Linked DNA regions of Schizosaccharomyces pombe. Changing the gene in region 3 together with the main gene of any one other region gives a genetic interaction. Each region holds a gene or a part of one and is shown on either strand. Other genes may lie near its edges.

Region 1 (7,677 bases), on a different chromosome or scaffold from region 3:
AATTGCTTTTAAACTTACAATGAATGGTATAAGGAAAAAACCAGCAACCTTGCAACTCCATAATATAAAAACCAGCTGTTTCATTGATGGCAGTGATGATCAAAGCGATAGAACAAGGTCAAGTTCTGGAGATAGCACCTCTAATTCACTGAAGCTATCACATCATATATCTGACGAACTGATCAATGCCATATATAAAGAGTTAAAGTCGCCAGTATCACCTTGGGACAAAAACATTTCGCAGCATTCGCCATGGCTGTTGGAAGCGGCATCGAACTCCATTGGTGATTCAAGTCCTTTACTTTCACCAATCTCTCCATTAAAGTTAAGATTTCATAAATATTCGGTTTCGAAACAGCTAAACAGCGTTGGAAAGCAGGGTTTTGGTCTTTCTTCAAACCATAGTCGTTATGCCTCACCATCCTCCCCTGCACGGCTTGCAAGAGGTGCACTTGGTGAGGAACTTAGCAATTCGCAATACAGATTAGAATGCGCCGCAATTCAGAAGCTTGTTGCTCAAAAACGAGCCAATAGAAGGAGTAGTAAAAGCACTTTAAAAAATTCTGCAAATGATATAGAGTTTTTCGATATTGAAGAAGTTTCCTCTCGCAAGGGACTAATAGACAGAACACCTTCTAAAAGAAATGTTACTTCCCGAGTTTCTGATGCGTATTCTCGTCTTAAATCTGCTGTGAAAGGCGAATCAAGCTTGTCCTTTAAAAGAAACCGATCGAAATCGAAGAGGAAAATTCAGCACCTGGGTTTGACTGAGTTTAATGGGTGGGAACACCATCAGTGCGACTGGCTATAAAATAAGTGTTACTCAGATGCTCCATGTTAGGCTACATGGTGCTAGCCATGTGGTAATTAACATTCATTTATTTCCTTCATTACTTTCTTCCTTAGTCCTCCTATCTCTTATTAGCTGGAAAGCTTTTATCATTTGCATTTTTCTTGTTAATTGGTCTTTCATTTATCTCGTCGTGTGCATTGAGATTTCCTATTTAAGTTTACGACTCATATTGTTTAATCTAATTTATTGTTTGTTTCTAATTATTCTTAATTTACTACCATAAAATTAAATTACTTAAAATTGGATACGTTCTATATGGTATGCATACGATTGCAATAAATCTTTAAAAGCATTACCCACTAAAATATTATACTATGTAACTACAAATTGTAGATACCTTCTGAAATTGATGATGTAAACAACATATTTAATTATATACAATTCCTTTGCGCAGATTTTACAGGCTTTAAAAGCGAGTGAAGATTAATTTTATATATTTGTAGTCCTATTACGTTCATAAACAGATTTCTGAAACATTAACATAAACTGGGTGCCACAAAACTAAATTAGTTTAATCTTCTCATAACATAGATTTATTAGTATGCACACTGTGAATTATGAAACACTGACATTCAGTAGCCAAAAATTCGTAAATTATTAAATATCTAGTTTCCAATTTTCTACGTTTTTATTTGAATGTGCAGTTAATCTGTAAGTATTTCCTTGTTGTTGATTGTGACACTCTTAGTCATATTCGCCGTTTTATAAATGCCAACCAAACGAGAAGATAACTCAAACATATTACTTCTTAAAGAAATAACAATAAACTGCGCGTTTTTAGTTCTTTCCTTAATGTAATTCGCAACAATCGAAACGTTTTTAAAGTCTAATGCAGCATCGATTTCGTCCATAACGTATAAAGGAGTCGGTTTGTAATTATGTAGAGCAAAGACAAGGGCTAGAGAACTTAACGTCTTCTCTCCTCCCGAAAGGTTAGATATGTTCTTCCAAGATTTTTTGGGAGGCATCACACTAAACAATACCCCCTCAGAAAACGGATCCAAACTATCCACTAACTCAAGCTCTGCGTTTCCGCCCATAGTAATAATTTGATACATTTCTTTAAGCTTCATAGATATAATTCCAAATCCGTACATAAACTCATCGAGCCTCTGAGATTGAAGATCTGTAACGACTTTTTTCAAATCGGTTCTTTTTTGCAATTCACTTTGGTAATCAGAATCACGCTTTTCTGCTTCCTTGTTACATCTACGATATTCAGACAAAACATTGATATCTACTTCTCTGTCTTCAGTTTTCTTTTTCAAGACTGAAATATTAGAGACCAGCTCGCTTTTATCAACTGAACTCAGTTCATCTTCAGAATATTCGGGAAAAGTTGAGTCCATTGTTGTCTGGTCACAAAATTCAGTCAAATTGTGTAACTTCAGATTTGACATGAGCTTTAAATATTTATTTTCATTATTGCCGACCTCTGATAATGCCGTACGCTGCTCTTGAATTTGATTTTCCAATTCAATCCTTTCTGCTTTAACGGAATTCATTTGCTTAGATTCAAATTCAATAAATTTTACTAGTTCGTCGATAGAGGAATTGATGTCCCATAGAGCATTTTCAAATTCGCGGAGCCGAGATTTGTGTTCATCCACATACTTGTTTAACGATTGTAGTTCAGTCTTTAAAGTGGCTATACTTTCAGTAGTTGTATCGTACTCGCTAGTAAGGTTTGATAGTTCAACTTGGAAAGATTGACTGCGTTGCTCATTCTTCTTCTTCTTGAAACTCATTTTGTTAAGCTTGTCTTTAACAAATTTGAGTTGCTCATGCAAATCGTCGACCTTTGATTTTTGTATACGATATCGAATCCCACCTATTTCCATGATCTTATCTTGTAACGTCTTAATTTCAGTGACAAGGCCTTCATTGTTAATATTTATGGCCTCAACTTCCTTGTCCATATTTGATATTTTGTTTTGGAGATTCCGTTTACGTTCATTGTTGTTTCTAATACTTTTTAAATCGGATTTAAGCTGCAAGATTCGCCTCTCTTCTCCAGCTACCAATCTATCACAAGCAGAAACGTCAAGCTGCAGCTTTGAAATCTCTAGTTCCGCCGATGGAATACGTTCCGAAATTTCAGTAAATCGCTGATTAAGGCTCTCCAGCTCACTTAGGTGTTGGCGATATCGAGTGTCTTCTAGTTGCACTTGTTTATCACAAGTCTCAACTGAAGCCGGCGATACATCACTCGTTATAGCTGAGGACATTCCGCCTTTCTTTACTCGAGTACCACCTCCAGTCATTGTGCCCGATTTATCAATTAACTGACCACTTAGTGTAACAACTCTCCAACGTGTTTTGCCATACGCAATTCTATTAGCCTGTTCCAAATTTTTAGCAACTAAGGTATTCTGCAAAACGTTATAAAACGCAGGAGCGAATTTCTGATCATTAAACCGAAGTAAGTCGAAGAGCCGGGGAACATTCTCAGGTGTTTGGATACGAGCTAAATTTTTCTGCGCCAGTTCTTTGAGAATAATAAAACTAGCACGGCCTAGGTTATTGGAGCGCAGAAAAGCCACACATTTCTGTCCAGTTTCAATATTGTCAACTACAATATGATTTAAAGCAGGACAGGCAGTTGAAATGGCCACATCATAAGCCTCGTCAATTGTAGCCAAATCACCAAGACGTCCAAAGAAACCATTTAAATTATCAGATTCATGAAGTCTTTGAAGACTTTCTAACACATTTCCACGAGATCTAGAAGAACTTAAAGAAGCTTTCATCTCCTCCAACTTTGTTCTGTTTGACATAAGATTTCGGTAAGTATTGTGAACAGTTTCCTTCTTTCTTTCAATGTTCTTACTAACATCTTTCTTCTCTCCTTTTAGGTCGGAAAGCACTTTAAGCTTAGAAGACAGGATATTCCGATTTTCTTCTGCATCATTACGCAGTTTATCAAGCGAAGATTGAGAGGACTCAACATCGTTAATTAGATCATTTTCTTTATTTAATAACATATCCAACTCAACCTGTAAAATTTGTTTTTCTGATGTCAATTGGTTTATTTTCTCGAGGGCGGGAGCCATAGCCTTTTGCTTTTCTTCAATAGCATTTGAAATACCTTCCGTTTTTCCCTGTAGACTTTTCCTAATGTCATCCAAACTCAATTCTTCCTGTTGAAGTCTTAAACTGAGATCGGCAATTTCAGAATTCAACTTTTGGGAATCAATATCATGAGAGCTTAAAGAATTTTCTGCTTCTGATTTTTCGAATGAAAGAGCCTCAATGGATTTCTTTAACTTTTTTTCTTTATTAAGTAAAAATTTTAACTGCTCTTCAATCTTCACAGTCTGTTGTTCATAAGACTGGCGAGTTTTCTTCTCTGAAGTACAATCGTTTTTTACTTTTGCTGCCTTTTCACGCAATGATTTAACCTCTTCATTTTTTTCCGAAATATCTCGCTCGGTTTGTTCAAATTTCTCTAAATGTGCTTGTAATTTTCCTTCCAAACTATTAAGCAAGTTTTGAACTAACGTCTTTTTATTGCGTGTTTCGTATAGAATAGTACGGTAAAGCTGATTCTGTTTCATAAACAACTCATTTTCGTCTTTGAGAAAAGAAAGAACCGAATTTTTGCTATCTTCTAATTTCGCCTTTTCAGAGAGCACCAGTTTTAAACGAGATTCTTTCTCAGCACAGATATCATCAGAATTCGAAAGTTCTTGCATATTCTCTTCTATAATTGGCTTATATTTCGAGGTTCCGATGATATCTTCAAGATATTCAAGAAGACCATCATCACCTTCTGATATAGCCCGGGGCTTCATTTGCGCTATTGATTCGACTTCTCCTTGAAGAATTAAAAATCTCTTATGATTCAAGTCTATTCCTTTCTCCTTTAAAAGATTAGAAACTGCAGAAAAGGAACTCTCAACCCCATTTACAAAGTATTTACTAGTATTATTTTTATAAGCAGTACGACGAACTGTTAGTTCGCTTCCATCAACATAAGTAAAGTCAGAGTTTACCTCTTTAAAAGTAATTTCGACATCACAACTATCGAGAGAAGGATGAGTTGCAGATTTATGAATTAAGGCAGACGCTTTGGATTGCCTAAGTTTACTAGCACGAAAACCGAAAACAAAAAGTAAAGCATCGATAACATTAGATTTCCCAGAGCCATTTGGTCCAACAATTGAAGAAAAAGAAGGATGAAACGGACCCACTATCTGAGTTCCTGCATATGATTTAAAATTTGTTAGGCGTAGCTCGTAAACAACCAGTCTAGGAGGAAGAACCTGAGTGGTTTCTTCACAATTCTCAATATCCTCTGTAGTAGTAAATTCTGACACAAGTTGTGAACTCCGTTCATTGAAACCTGTTGATTTAGATGGAGTGCCATCTTGAGCAGACATAAATTTGTTGAGCAAATTAGGGCGTTCGTTTAAAGAATCGGTAATTCTTTTTTTTAAAAAGTCATTGAAAAATGGGCGAGATGGTGTTTGCTCTATCTTGACAATTGATGCGACATCTTTCTGAGAAGGAGATTCTAGCACTGAGCGAACCAACTTTCGTGGCCTTTCACCACGATCTGGCGTAACATCCACAATCGAGGGTGTTGAAGACGTTCGAAAGATGCCCTTGTCAGACATAAAGATAGTATCTTCAACAAATTATATATTACTTAAAATTCTAAAAGAGTGGGTGGTCGTGAAAAGAGGTGTGTTGTTTACAACGGTTGAACAGCATTTCACCCAACGATGAAGTCAATTAATGAATAAAATATACAAAAACCCACAGTTAAATTACACTAAAGCCCATGTTTATAAACTAAAGACTGAAGTATAATTGTGTAAACAGGTCATGTTAGATGAAAATGATCTATTTATTTTATACCTACACACCTGATTTAAAGGAAGACTTCAAACATCTTTTTACCTGTAATTATAAACTCATGTGTCTATTATACATTAAATTATTATGCTAGTCAATTTGGTATTCTTGGACGTTGAAAGTTAACTCAAAACGAAAATTAAGTAAAAGAGAATATTGCTCTGACACTTTACACTAGCAAAATATTAAAAGGACGAGCAGAATACATTGCTGTTTCTAAGTTTTTACTAGCACAAGCAAACATCCTCTTTCAATTCACACAATAAATATAAAGCTCAAAGATTTTTTGTTCTGTATTCCTTCATTAAATCTAGCAAGACGACGCAAAAATTTACCTTGTTTGGGTAGCCCTATGTGTGAAATAACCACGAATAAAGAATAATCAGTAAGTAATATAAATAGATTAGCTCTTTAAATGAAATGTTAATGCAAGGAAACGATTTGTCCAAGTTTTTTAGAACAACTTTTCAAATTCACTATTGTTTTGTATTTTTTTAGCTTTAAACTTGACAAGCCTTTTGCCATATGTTAATTTAACCCAAAATTCTTACATTTTGATTTAAACTAATCAAACGCAAATTCATATCTTCAAGCAATTGCAAGTAATTTATCTTTAAAACATTTAAATCTGTAAACATAGATTATTATATGCTATCTATGCTCACTTGATAACTTAGCTAAACTCTTCCTTCTTTATTTATTTATTTATTTTTTAAACAAAAACTAACAAGTCCTCTTAGTTTTTATTTATTTACGTTAAGTTTCTTTTTTTTAGTAAATAATTCCAAACTTAAAAAAAATTTTATAGTGATAAAACCTAGCAATGGACTTTATAATAATGATACTTTAGTTAATTTTTTTGTTGTTATTTGGTTATATCTCTATCACTAAACTACATATTTATTAACTATTAACTATACTTATAATTAAAACTCTTCTGAGTCTTAAAATAAAAAGCATATAGAATTGATATAAAAGATATTTAATATCTAAAAAAAAAATTAAAGGGTTGGCAATACATTTATCTAAATCAATTTGGTAATGCATTGGATCATCCAGCAGCCTGTTCCATCTTACTACTTTAAAAGTTTTTCTGTTAATTAGCATTAGATATAACGATGCACTCGCTCTGTATAACCCAGGAGGTTAGTTTTGTTTACCATCAATTCCTTCTCGTTATTGCAACATAGCGATGCCGCATATCAGATCAAAAAAGCCGCGTGAGTTTCTGTCCTTGCAGTTCTCCTTTACAATTAATTTGGTAGATGAAGGTGTTCTTACGGGGAAAACGAAGTAGCTAAATACTATAAAACATGATCCTTAATAGAAGAATTCAGGTGATTCTCCCTACCCTACTAATCTTATCGTTTATTATATGGATCTTTCACAGTGTTATGGTAGACAAAGATTGGCGTCTGTTTATGCCTGAAATTAAATCGCTTCCGGATCGAGAAGGTCAAGGTAGAAAACCAATTGAGATGATGTCCACGAAGCACGATAATAACACGAATAATTTAATGGTAAATGCATACTGGAAGTTAATTCATACGGTTGTTTCCAATTATCCAAACAGACCAACATTAGATGAGCGAGATATCTTAAGACATTATCTATTTTCTTCCGCTATTACAATGCCATGTGGTGAATACTCTGTGGAACTCCAAAAGATACTAGATGTACATCCTCCACAAACAAGTTCTCGAAAAGCAGCAACTACGTGGGCTTGCAAAGTACACAATCAATTAAATGAGAAAATGAATCAACCAAAGACATCATGCGATGGATTTAATGAGAGATATGTAATCGGATCGCCGACCTATCGCGAAAGCGAAGCTGAAAATGTTCCTGAACGGGTACAAGTAATTAACGAAGATCACGACTATTCTGGTTGATAACAATGGTTAATTTTAAGAATTCATGTATTATTAAAAAATATTACCGTCTATCATGCAATGCATTTGGAT
Region 2 (6,363 bases), on a different chromosome or scaffold from region 3:
ATGTGAACAGCTTCGATTGATATTAGAACCAACCTTGGCCACTAAGATGCAAGGAGACTTTCGTACGGGTAAACGGTTGAATATGAAACGAATCATCCCATATATTGCTTCTCAGTTCAAGAAAGACAAGATATGGATGCGTCGTGTTAAACCTAGTAAAAGGACGTATCAAGTGATGATTTCCATTGATGATTCTAAGTCGATGAGTGAGTCGGGCAGCACAGTTCTAGCGTTAGAGACTTTAGCTTTGGTAACAAAAGCATTATCATTACTTGAAGTTGGACAAATTGCAGTGATGAAATTTGGGGAGCAACCTGAATTGTTGCATCCTTTCGACAAACAGTTTTCATCTGAAAGTGGTGTACAAATGTTTTCGCATTTTACATTTGAGCAAAGTAATACCAATGTTTTGGCTCTCGCCGATGCTTCTATGAAATGCTTTAACTATGCCAATACGGCTTCCCATCATAGATCTAACTCGGACATAAGGCAGTTAGAAATCATAATTTCAGACGGTATTTGTGAAGATCATGATAGCATTCGGAAACTGCTAAGGCGTGCTCAAGAAGAAAAAGTGATGATTGTGTTTGTTATTCTTGACAATGTTAACACCCAGAAAAAGTCGTCCATCCTTGATATTAAAAAGGTTTACTACGACACTAAAGAAGATGGTACTATGGATTTAAAAATTCAGCCATATATAGATGAGTTTGCTTTTGATTACTATTTGGTGGTTCGTAACATCGAAGAATTGCCGCAACTTTTGTCTTCTGCACTTCGTCAATGGTTTCAGCAGATGAGTAATACTTAAATTGTACAAAAGCTTTGCAGTTAAGACTTGCAGAAAAAAATAATCGGGTTAGGTTTTGGGATTATTTTTGGTACTTATACATACTACGATTTAATAAATTAATTAATAATAGAAATTCATTGGTATGGAATTTAGTGATAAAATTTTTAGTACCATAATGTTTCTGTGAAAGGAGCAGCATTACTCACAATCAAAGTTAGTGTATTTTAATTCTCCTTTTAAATTAGTCATAACTACCAAAATTAGTAAAGGCTTGTTATTATGCTTAGATTAATGAGTTTCAGCAGAAGTTTTTCCCATTGCTTGTTGAAACCACATTTTTTTGTAAGCTCCGCCGTCACGCTTTATTAACTCTTCGTGTGTGCCAGTCTCAACGATTCTACCATTCGAAATACAAAGAATTAAGTCTGCATTGGTGATGGTGGAGAGCCTGTGAGCGATTACTATAGCAGTTCGGCCAGATGCAAGTCTATTCAAGGCTGCCTGGATTTGTCGCTCAGTATTTGTGTCCAGAGCAGAAGTAGCTTCATCGAGAAGGATAATTGAAGGATCTTTTAAGATAGCTCTGGCAACTGCTACACGTTGTTTTTCACCACCGCTTAACTTTAAGCCTCTTTCTCCGACACGAGAATTATAACCATCTGGGAATTGTAATATACGATCGTGAATTTGAGCAGCCTTAGCAGCAGCATAAATCTCCTCATTGGTCGCAGAAGGTTTAGCATATTTAATATTGTAAAGAATAGTATCATTAAAAAGGGTACTATCTTGGGGAACTACACCTATTGAAGATCGAAGACTAGACAACGTAACATTTCGTATGTCTTGATCATCAATGGTTATGGATCCCGAGTTGACATCGAAGAATCGTAAAAGAATTCTCATAATTGTAGATTTCCCACCACCTGATTCTCCCACTAACGCAATAACTTTTCCTGGTTGTGCAACAAAATTGATATCTGATAAAACAGGTTTTCGTGGATCATATGCAAATGAAACATGAGAGAATATTACCTTACCTTGAGTGACTTTAAGATCTGGGGCATTTGGTTTCTCCACCACAGTAGGTTTCTCCTCAAAAATTTCAAGTAGTCTTTCTGTATCGATGATGCTATTTTGCAATGAACGATATAAAGTTCCGAAAAAATTAAGAGGCTGCTGTAGCTGAATCATGTATGTCAAAAGTATGACAAAATCACCGACAGTGTTAAAGCCGAATGTTACTCTATAAGCACTTAATAGACAAGCAATTGCCAAGCTGAATGTAAATATTCCACCTTGAACGATATTTAAAAAATTAAGGCTAAATAGTACCTTCCGCTCTTGCTTAAGATAAATATCCACAGCATGACCGTATCGTTCATTTTCAAAGTCATCTGCATCAAAATTTTTAACGGTTTCGAAATTCATAATCGCGTCATTTTGCACAGCATAACTCTCGCGCCAGCTATTAACCATCTTTCTTCTAGCCTCGGTACGCCAAGATGTAATTTTGACCGTAACGTAACAGTAACAAAGTGTCATAATTAACACAATAAGCGTAAAATAAATGTCAAACTTAATAAAAAAGTATACCATGGCTACTCCCAAATCCAACAAAACAGGCCCAATCTGAAACACAACTTGTTCTGCAAACGTATTCAACGAACTTCCTTTAGTTAAGGCGGTCAAAACCTCACCAGCACGTTTATTCAAATGAAAATCGTATGACAGGTTTAGAACATGTCTCAAAGCCTTAGTTGATATCGCTCTATAAGCATATTGAGAGACAGGAACCCATAAGAAAGATCGAAGAGAACCAATTACTCCCATATTTCCTTGCAAAAAACGATAGATAACGAATAGAATAACATCAGACCAAGGAATTTTCTCACTATGTTTTGTGAGCTTTTCAGTTAACACACCCAGTTGTCGGGGAGCAAGTATGTTAACAGCTCGCCCCAAAAAGAGTAAAACTATGCAAATGAAAATCTGAAACTGAAGTCGGTAATCTTTTGTCGGCCAGAGATAGGGAAGTAAAGTAGAGAAAGAACGGAAATATTCTGCCCAAGATTTATCACTAGGTTTTTTCGATGTTGATTTGAGTGTACCAAAATTCGAGGTTGATGCCGATACACCGAGCTGAACGGTCGAGGGATTTTGAGAGATAGCATTCTCATTAACGTTTGACTCTTCTGTTAATTGACGCTCCTCAAAATCCAGGGGATCGTGCGTATGTCTCTTTCGTCTATAAGTTAGATATATAGCTGTAGCGAAAACACATAAGACCAATCGGGCTACATGGTCCGCCAATACAATTCCTTGAAATGTTTCATTTGGATGAGGACTGTAGACAATGAAAATTGTTTCAAATACAATGTCTATAGCCCAAACGTACAAGACGCTAAGGCGGTAGGCCTTTAGTATGGAATCCGCATTTTTTGGAAGAGCTTTAGAATCTGCGCATGAGATAAGTACAATTATCCAAAATAAAAGGAAGAGAATTAAACAGACAACAGTGGTTTTACAGGGCCACCAATTTGGAACTCGCAATGCGTAGATGACAAGATTGCTGATATCAACGACCTAAAAATGAAATTAGCAATATGAAGCGAGGTTAAACAATTAAACATAAACATTTTTCTTTCAAAATATACTTATATATATATATATATATATTTTTTAAGAAAAATGCTTGAAATACGTACGTAGGTTAATGCAATTCCCAATATCCACCAGGAAATTATTCCTATAGGTTCTTTGCCGAAGCGATTTTTCCTACGATAAGGATCAGAAGTAGCTTTCCTTTTCTGCAGTAAGTTCAAGGACCCAATACTAAAAAATCCGACATATAGAAGGACCAGCTCAAGAATATTGAGGCGTGGGCTGTTGTAACGTAGAACCATTACAAAAAAATCAAAAAAGAAATGCCAGTTTGATTAATAAAACTTTAGGTAAAAGTAACTTGATAATTTTAAATTGTTACTGCTTCAATTGCTAATTTGGTTTGACTGAGGTTAAGTGGTGTAGAGGTTAAGAGTGACAATGGTGAGGTAAGAATACCTCCTATACGGTACCAAACTACCCCACTTACGGAGCCTTTCGAAAGCAGAAAATCAGTATGAATTTTGTATATTTTGTTTCAACTTTTTTTTTTGTTAAGAGTCTTAACCTCCTTACAAGATCGTAGCTTAAGGCATACATCCTTCATCGGCCACGATAGAGGAACAAATAATGTACTTACTTGTATTGAAAGCTTTACAAATTTCAACGGCATAGTAACAACTTGTAAAGGGTCTTCTTAAAATATAGATAAAAGGCGGCTGAACTTGATGTTGACTGGCAATGTTGGGTATACAAATCTAAAATTGATGAGCTTGAATGCAATAACCTAGTATCTGGAACCTTCGAAAAGTTTTAAAGAAACACGTAACAAATCCTTTTTATTTGAAGAGGCTTTCAAGCAAAAGTTACAATATTTAATTGCATAACACACCTTCAAACTCTGACTTTCGCTAACGGCCTAGAAATGATAAACTCATTAAAGACTTCTATTTTTTAAAATTAATATTTTTAATTAATGGTTGAAATATTCAGAAGAACTTCAAATTTAACTACTTTTAACTTACTGACATCGTTATTTTCTTTCCAAATTTTTTTATCAGATCAAGCCTCAACGTACATCATTGTGACAGAATACAGTCTACACCAATTTATGAATAAGCATTAAGTATAGCCCTAGCCGAACTTTTTTACTATCTAACGAAACGCATCACATTATATAATAGGCTTTATGAAGCTAAAACCTTATGAACCACAATGTCGATAACTTCAAAACAGCAACAATCATGCTAGAAGTGGACGGGCAATTTGAAGCATCTAACACAGTATACGTAATTCTTTAACAATATTTTTGAGTACTCTTCGTAAGGTTGATGGTATTGTTGCCTTGGATCAGTATTTGCATTGCTCGGTATAAGGGATATGGGGGATACCTATCTACTCTTAATTTTGCTCTGGCAGTTTAAAAGGCGGGGGAAGGCTGGCTAATCGTAAATCTTGCACCCAAAAAGTCTATTGGCTCTCGAGGTTTTTATTAAAGGTAATTTCAAGGCTTAGAAATGGCTGTCTACCAGCCCTTTATCATGACTGTACTATTCGCGAGGAATTGGTGGTAGTCACTGTGCAGTCATAATAAGAACCGAATAACTTAAAGGGACAACTATGATTGGACGTAAGTAATTTTAACTATTAAGCCTCGCTAAAATAAGTACATTACGTCGACTTTAGCGAAGAGTGGCAGCGGATTTACCGTCGCATTCGTCGTTTGTGGGCCATCCTGACGTTTTAGAGTTGCAACTTTGTGCCTTTTGATTCGTCCTTCTATTTAAGAAATGTGGGACAGCTTTGCGGGGAATGCTTGCGAAAATAGCAATGTTTACATTTGAAATGGTGCTTAGCTGTTACGAAAACTTGACACGATATGATTTTTTTTATCTATAAATAAGTGTCCCTCTCACCAGTTTTGACCATCGAATACAGCATTTAAATCGATACTAATTTTGAAGCGAAACTCATCAGTCTAAAGCACTCTATATTTTGAAGCATCCATATTCTCACTCAATTCTTTTTTTTTAACACTATAATGGCTATTATGCACAAAATTGGCTGTGCCGGAAGTGAAGTTGAGACCGACCGTGTTCTTGAAAAAGACCAAGCAAACAACGGTCACTTCGTTGATAGTGATTGCTGCTTTCAAGAGACAGGAAGTACTGGCACGGCCAACAGCATTTGCACTTTAAATGATTCAGAAGATGATAACAGTAGTCTTAATTCAGTGGACAATAATGAATGTACCAACCTTGACTGTGGTGGTAAAAAGCACAAAAATCTTTCACCTAATCCTTCTTTCCATGTAAACATCAATGCCGCAGAATTTATTCCGAAATCTCATAATGGGTATGCTCCTAAATCAATGAATCCCCCTCCCGAACAACTCGATTCTCCTTGTTATCCTCATTTTGACCAGGACTCTTCTTCAGTCATTTATCCTTCTCCACCTTCAACCTATTACCCCAACATGTATGTTTCAGCAAACACCTTCATACCGATGCCCTATGCCCACTATACCGACAATATGTATCATGCAAAACCTGTAAACCGTCCAAATTTCCTACCTCGAGAAGGTACTCCTCCTCCGTTTGCCCAACAACCTGCGGAGCAATTTTCACCATTCAATTCAGAATACGAATCCTTGTTAGATTTTCGTGCTTTAATCCTTGGTAACTTGCCAGTTGACTACAAAATTTCCGAATTACTTTCGCTTATCCACTCTGGACCATTAGAGAAGATTCAGTCCAACCCTGGAAAACGCAGGATTATAATTACATTTCTTGATTCTGCTGATGCCTTTTTCTTTTATGAAAGGTACCATCCTCGTGGATTCATTTTTCATGGTAGGCCACTCAAATTGACATTTGCTAGACCTTCTCCTTTACCTGAATCGATTCAAAATTTTTGCTCGAACACTGCGGCCAGCCGTAATGTGTTCATCGGCAATCTTCCTTCTTCTT
Region 3 (4,352 bases):
ACATAGCGATAGAAGTTGCCGAAAGTAAGGCCGCGCTATTGGCGGCACGTATGTCGGCGTTTTTCTACTGGCAGGAAAACCAATCGGTTGAATAGGGTGATTTGGTGATGAAGAAAGAGGAATCAAACTTAACATGATTTTACGATGTTGTTCTAGTGTTTGAAGTTCACGAGCTTTCCAAGTGGAGTATGATTTATAATTAGAAAAATCGACCACCGAATGCGAAAATTTACAAGCATCACTTTCTAAATCCTCAATTAAAATGCCAATATCTTCAGCTATGGCGGCCTCATCTATTGAGGGAAATAATTTTTCAGCATCCAACAATGCTTTTGAATAAGCAACCTTGAATACTGACGAAAAAACTTTTAACAAAGGAAAAGATGAAAGGTCAAATTGATCTTGTCCTCTATTAACGCGTTTTGTACTCAGTATTTCACTTTTGTTGAGAAGCTTTGAGTGATACATGTCAAGATGGGATACAAATTCAGATGATGGGGAAGCCAATTGGCCTTTAAGCGTGACTCTTTTGCATAACTCAATAAAGGAAGCAGTAATTCTGTCTGCTAAATTTGAATCGTAAGCTGTTCCCAAACGTTTAGTAAGTTCAGATGAAACAGAGCTGGCAAAAATCAAAAACATATCCTCAATTTTCCTCGAGTCTTTTAATTGCTTAGATATATGAGATTTGTTTATGTTATTGTAAAATGCTGCGAAACATCCTCTGATCAACTGATCTTGATATTCTGGCTCTTTTCCCATACTAATACTCTCAAGGGCAAGCGATAAATATTTTATAAAATCCTTGGGATATTTTGGATTATCTTTTTTTTCTTTGGCAGAAAATAGACTACCAGAAAATGCCCCATTGGTCTTTTTCTCAACTGGTGTACTAAATGATGATGTCTGCAGAGCTGAAGGGGTAGATGCACGATACTGTACTAAGAACAGGATTAACACATTCTTTAAAGTCCAGCTAAATACGTTGGTTAATTAAAATGAAAAGTAATGAAATAACAAACCTATAGAGCTCATCTTTACTTATAGACTCTGCAGCTTGAACTTCGTTCGAGTGTAAAGGAAGAGGTTTTCGTCTACAATTCATCCCATTTAGAAAATAAAATGAAGATATTTAATTTAGTTTCTTTGCAGGTTAAGCAACAGGATCGAAGGATATATAATAGCCTAGAGAATGTATTGAGTGGGAGAAATATGGTGAGATAGGCGGAGGTGTAATCGGAAATCTATGACAGAGAAGAATTAAAGAAACATGATTTTACTATGAAAGACTTGGTAGCTCATCTGTTAAAAATATTAAATTAGTAGGCAATAATGCAACTTGTATTTGGAATCAAGCTAACTGCATAATTTCTGCTTAATCCAAAGAATCCACCGTCTAAGACGGTCAAAATAAAGTGGCTTCAAGGACTATATTGAAAGAAATATAAAACAGTTATTATGATATATTTTAGATTTATTTAATGTATTTGCACACCAGGATCAATTATTAATGTTAACACTATCCACCACAAAGTATGAGAAAAAATAATATGCAAACATCTAAAGATAGTGAACTAAAAGAACAAGGTATATTTATTCTGTGTAGATTAAGCTGACATATCAAAGCTAAAGGAAAATCGTCCAAGCTTATTCATAAATTACCAAAACAGCGTACACGCATCTCTCAAGGACAAATGCATTCAACTCAGGATTTTGTTAATAATGAAGATCAAGATGCATATAGTGTAAGGGAGAACGAAAATGAACTTCATATCAATAATTCCGGGATGTCAGAGTTGAATAAGAAGTTGCAACTCCCTAACGTAGAGTTATCTACTCTTTCGCACACCCAAGAGCAGGAATTCAATGAACTGAACAAGCTGATACGAAAAATTAATGAACTACAAGAATTTTATTTACTTGAAGATTTGGCAAAACCTGTTACCAATGCTGGCGCTGACGCTGATGGTAAGACTAAGGCCTATTTCTGAATTTTTTACTTACATTCAAGAAGACACAATAGTCAAAGATTTAAAAAAAGAACTAGAAAATGAAAAGAAAGCTAACCATTCGTTAAAGAATGAGTTATTGAAAACTCGAGAGCAAATAAAAAACTATTCAAAAATTAATATACTTATAAAGGAGCTTTTCGGATTAGAAGTTGCAGACTGTATAGAGGACGAGGATGGATATCGTTTCAACTGTAAAAACACTGGAAGGAGAGGGAGTAAGTGCTTTAAGGGATTTAGAAATAATTTCAAGCTAACAGGATATTATTATAGCACTCGAATATCAGCTCTTGTTAGATGATCAAAACTTTACATTTACTCCACGTCTGAATGTTCAAACTGATGAGGAGCTTATGAAACATTTACCAGACTATTTGTTGGAGGAAATTATCTTTACGAAAGAACAAGGAAAATTATTTTCTGCTAGATTAATGAAAGCTTTGCAAGATTAACAATAATAACTATGGATTTTGCTTAAACTTTAATACTTCCTTGTTATATGAATAGCACTATATCTTAAATTAATTGTGCTCGTCGAGATATCACTTTTTTCATCGTCCGTCAAAAGCTGCGATGTTTGTATTCTGCTACCATAATTATCTATTATTAATTTTTACATCTTTTATTCGAAAAGACCTTAACCGCTTAGGAAAAAATTGAATGCAAAAAACTTAAGGAAATGGGTAGAATTCAAATCAAAGACTGTATATAGAAAGCTATTGATATCGTAATATATTATTATTCTAGTGATAACCATAAGCATTGGACTATCATAAGTAATCAAACTGCATACTTTTTCGTCCATTCACGGGCATTTGCAATTGCCTGTGGCTCATTTTCTTTCCAAATCTTTGCAACATCATTGTCTAAAGGGTCATCTGGGTTGGGAGCACCCATTAATGCCTGTATCGAAAGTAGCACGGTTCGAATTTGTAAAGCAGGACTCCAATCCTCTGATTTATTAATGTTAGTACACCAAAATAAGATGAAACGTGTGAAGTTTAACATACTTTTTAACGTAGATAAACATATGCGACCTAATTTATCAACGTTTGGATGATAAATTTTAGTAAGAAAACGAACATTGGGAGGCATCTAATAGTTGTTAAAACTCAAATTACACAATTATACAATTTTTTGAAGACAGTTTGAAACTGACAATGCCATTCTTCAAATTTTTGTTGAACTAGCAGGGCTAGCAAAAGGACCATGGTAGGCTCAATACTGTGTTTTCAAAAAAAACCTACCATTGGATACTCATCAGGAAGAAACAGCTCTAAGTGAAATTTTCCACCTTCATAAGCTGATTGCTGAGGCCCTTCCATAGTAATTTTAAAATAGCGAAGATTATCTTCAGTGGGAGCCGCTACAATTCCGGGTGGAGGATCTCTCGTAAGGGTTTCAATTTCCTACCAATTATTAGTTGAAAAATGCTAACAGAAAGCGCAAACCTTAATAATACGCTTAGGCAAAGCCATTGTTCATATACTTGGACTTCCTAGAATGCATGCTGTACACACAATAAGTACTTGGTTTAAGGAGAAACTGGAGAGATTGATACACTATTCTATATAAGGAGTGACGTAAAACATAATACAAATAGTGAGTGATAATAAAATCTCCACGGCTCTAGCTAAGAATAGTATTAGCAATTGACAAGTAGCCATGGCTTCTTAGTTTATTATTATTAATATTCATAATATTGTATAAAATTTAATTTGTTTTTTTATAAAAAAAAAGATTCAGAATCCTGAAATTGCTACAGTCACCTGGCCCATATCGAAAAAGATGAGGGAATTACAGGGAGACGATTCTTCAAGAAAGTCTCCTCCGAGTGATTCGGTTGTAAAAAATTCTTCGCCTATTGATTATGAACATTCATTGAAATCTCTTCAAGATGAACGTACCTTGAATTACCCCAATAAGCAATTTAATTCTGAAAACCCATCTTCATACTATAATATGGATGATAGCGGGGAATTATGCAACTTTGAATTGGAGAAAGACAGTCTTGAATCAATGATCCATGAATCGTCCACTGCTCTAAGCGCTCAATCAAACACTGCACAAGACGGTGATCAACTAGCTTCATCGTCAACAATCTCTAAAGATCACTCAGAAACGTTGGACAATAAGCTAAACGATTCTAAGATATTAATTAAAAAAGCTTCTAACTCCTTTGCAAATTTTTCAGAAAGTGTAAGGTCTAGTACCATTGTTGCATATTCTCAAACACCGACACAAAGGTTGCAAGGTTTAACTTCCATATCATCTTCTTCTTTTGACGATGGTAGTTATGGATCTCGTCGAATATCTTTTAACTCTCAGGGTGTTTCTGGTCGG

The links.
Region 1: mutations in csm1 (region 3) and cut3 are lethal when combined (synthetic lethality), as found in Schizosaccharomyces pombe (one study listed by BioGRID).
Region 2: mutations in csm1 (region 3) and hmt1 are lethal when combined (synthetic lethality), as found in Schizosaccharomyces pombe (2 studies listed by BioGRID, with this or other methods).

The regions. Positions count from the first base shown.
Region 1 is NC_003423.3:1,000,992-1,008,668, forward strand, and holds cut3 (condensin complex SMC subunit Smc4), read right to left. Parts: upstream 5,533-7,677; 5' UTR 5,473-5,532; coding exon 1,498-5,472; 3' UTR 1,272-1,497; downstream 1-1,271. Other genes in the region: SPOM_SPBC146.02 (uncharacterized protein), read left to right, coding at 20-811; erv2 (sulfhydryl oxidase), read left to right, coding at 7,027-7,605. UniProt on the Schizosaccharomyces pombe protein: Central component of the condensin complex, a complex required for conversion of interphase chromatin into mitotic-like condense chromosomes.
Region 2 is NC_003421.2:1,913,847-1,920,209, forward strand, and holds hmt1 (vacuolar phytochelatin and glutathione S-conjugate ABC family transmembrane transporter Hmt1), read right to left. Parts: upstream 3,826-6,363; 5' UTR 3,697-3,825; coding exon 3,499-3,696; intron 3,377-3,498; coding exon 1,082-3,376; 3' UTR 910-1,081; downstream 1-909. Other genes in the region: mdn1 (midasin), read left to right, coding at 1-811; mug24 (rrm type RNA-binding protein), read left to right, coding at 5,436-6,363. UniProt on the Schizosaccharomyces pombe protein: Involved in metal tolerance. Probably involved in the transport of metal-bound phytochelatins. Compartmentalizes cadmium within vacuoles, thereby protecting cells from cadmium toxicity.
Region 3 is NC_003424.3:5,284,595-5,288,946, forward strand, and holds csm1 (microtubule-site clamp monopolin complex subunit Csm1/Pcs1), read left to right. Parts: upstream 1-1,515; 5' UTR 1,516-1,535; coding exon 1,536-1,587; exon of another isoform or gene 1,588-1,626; coding exon 1,627-1,968; intron 1,969-2,014; coding exon 2,015-2,227; exon of another isoform or gene 2,228-2,282; coding exon 2,283-2,461; 3' UTR 2,462-2,696; downstream 2,697-4,352. Other genes in the region: Munc family exocytic/endocytic regulator Ync13, read right to left, coding at 1-976, 1,023-1,105; ubiquitin-conjugating enzyme Ubc13, read right to left, coding at 2,790-2,962, 3,020-3,104, 3,257-3,418, 3,461-3,487; SEA complex subunit Sea3, read left to right, coding at 3,798-4,352. UniProt on the Schizosaccharomyces pombe protein: The monopolin-like pcs1/mde4 complex is essential for accurate chromosome segregation during mitosis and meiosis II. May clamp together microtubule binding sites on the same kinetochore, preventing merotelic attachment of microtubules.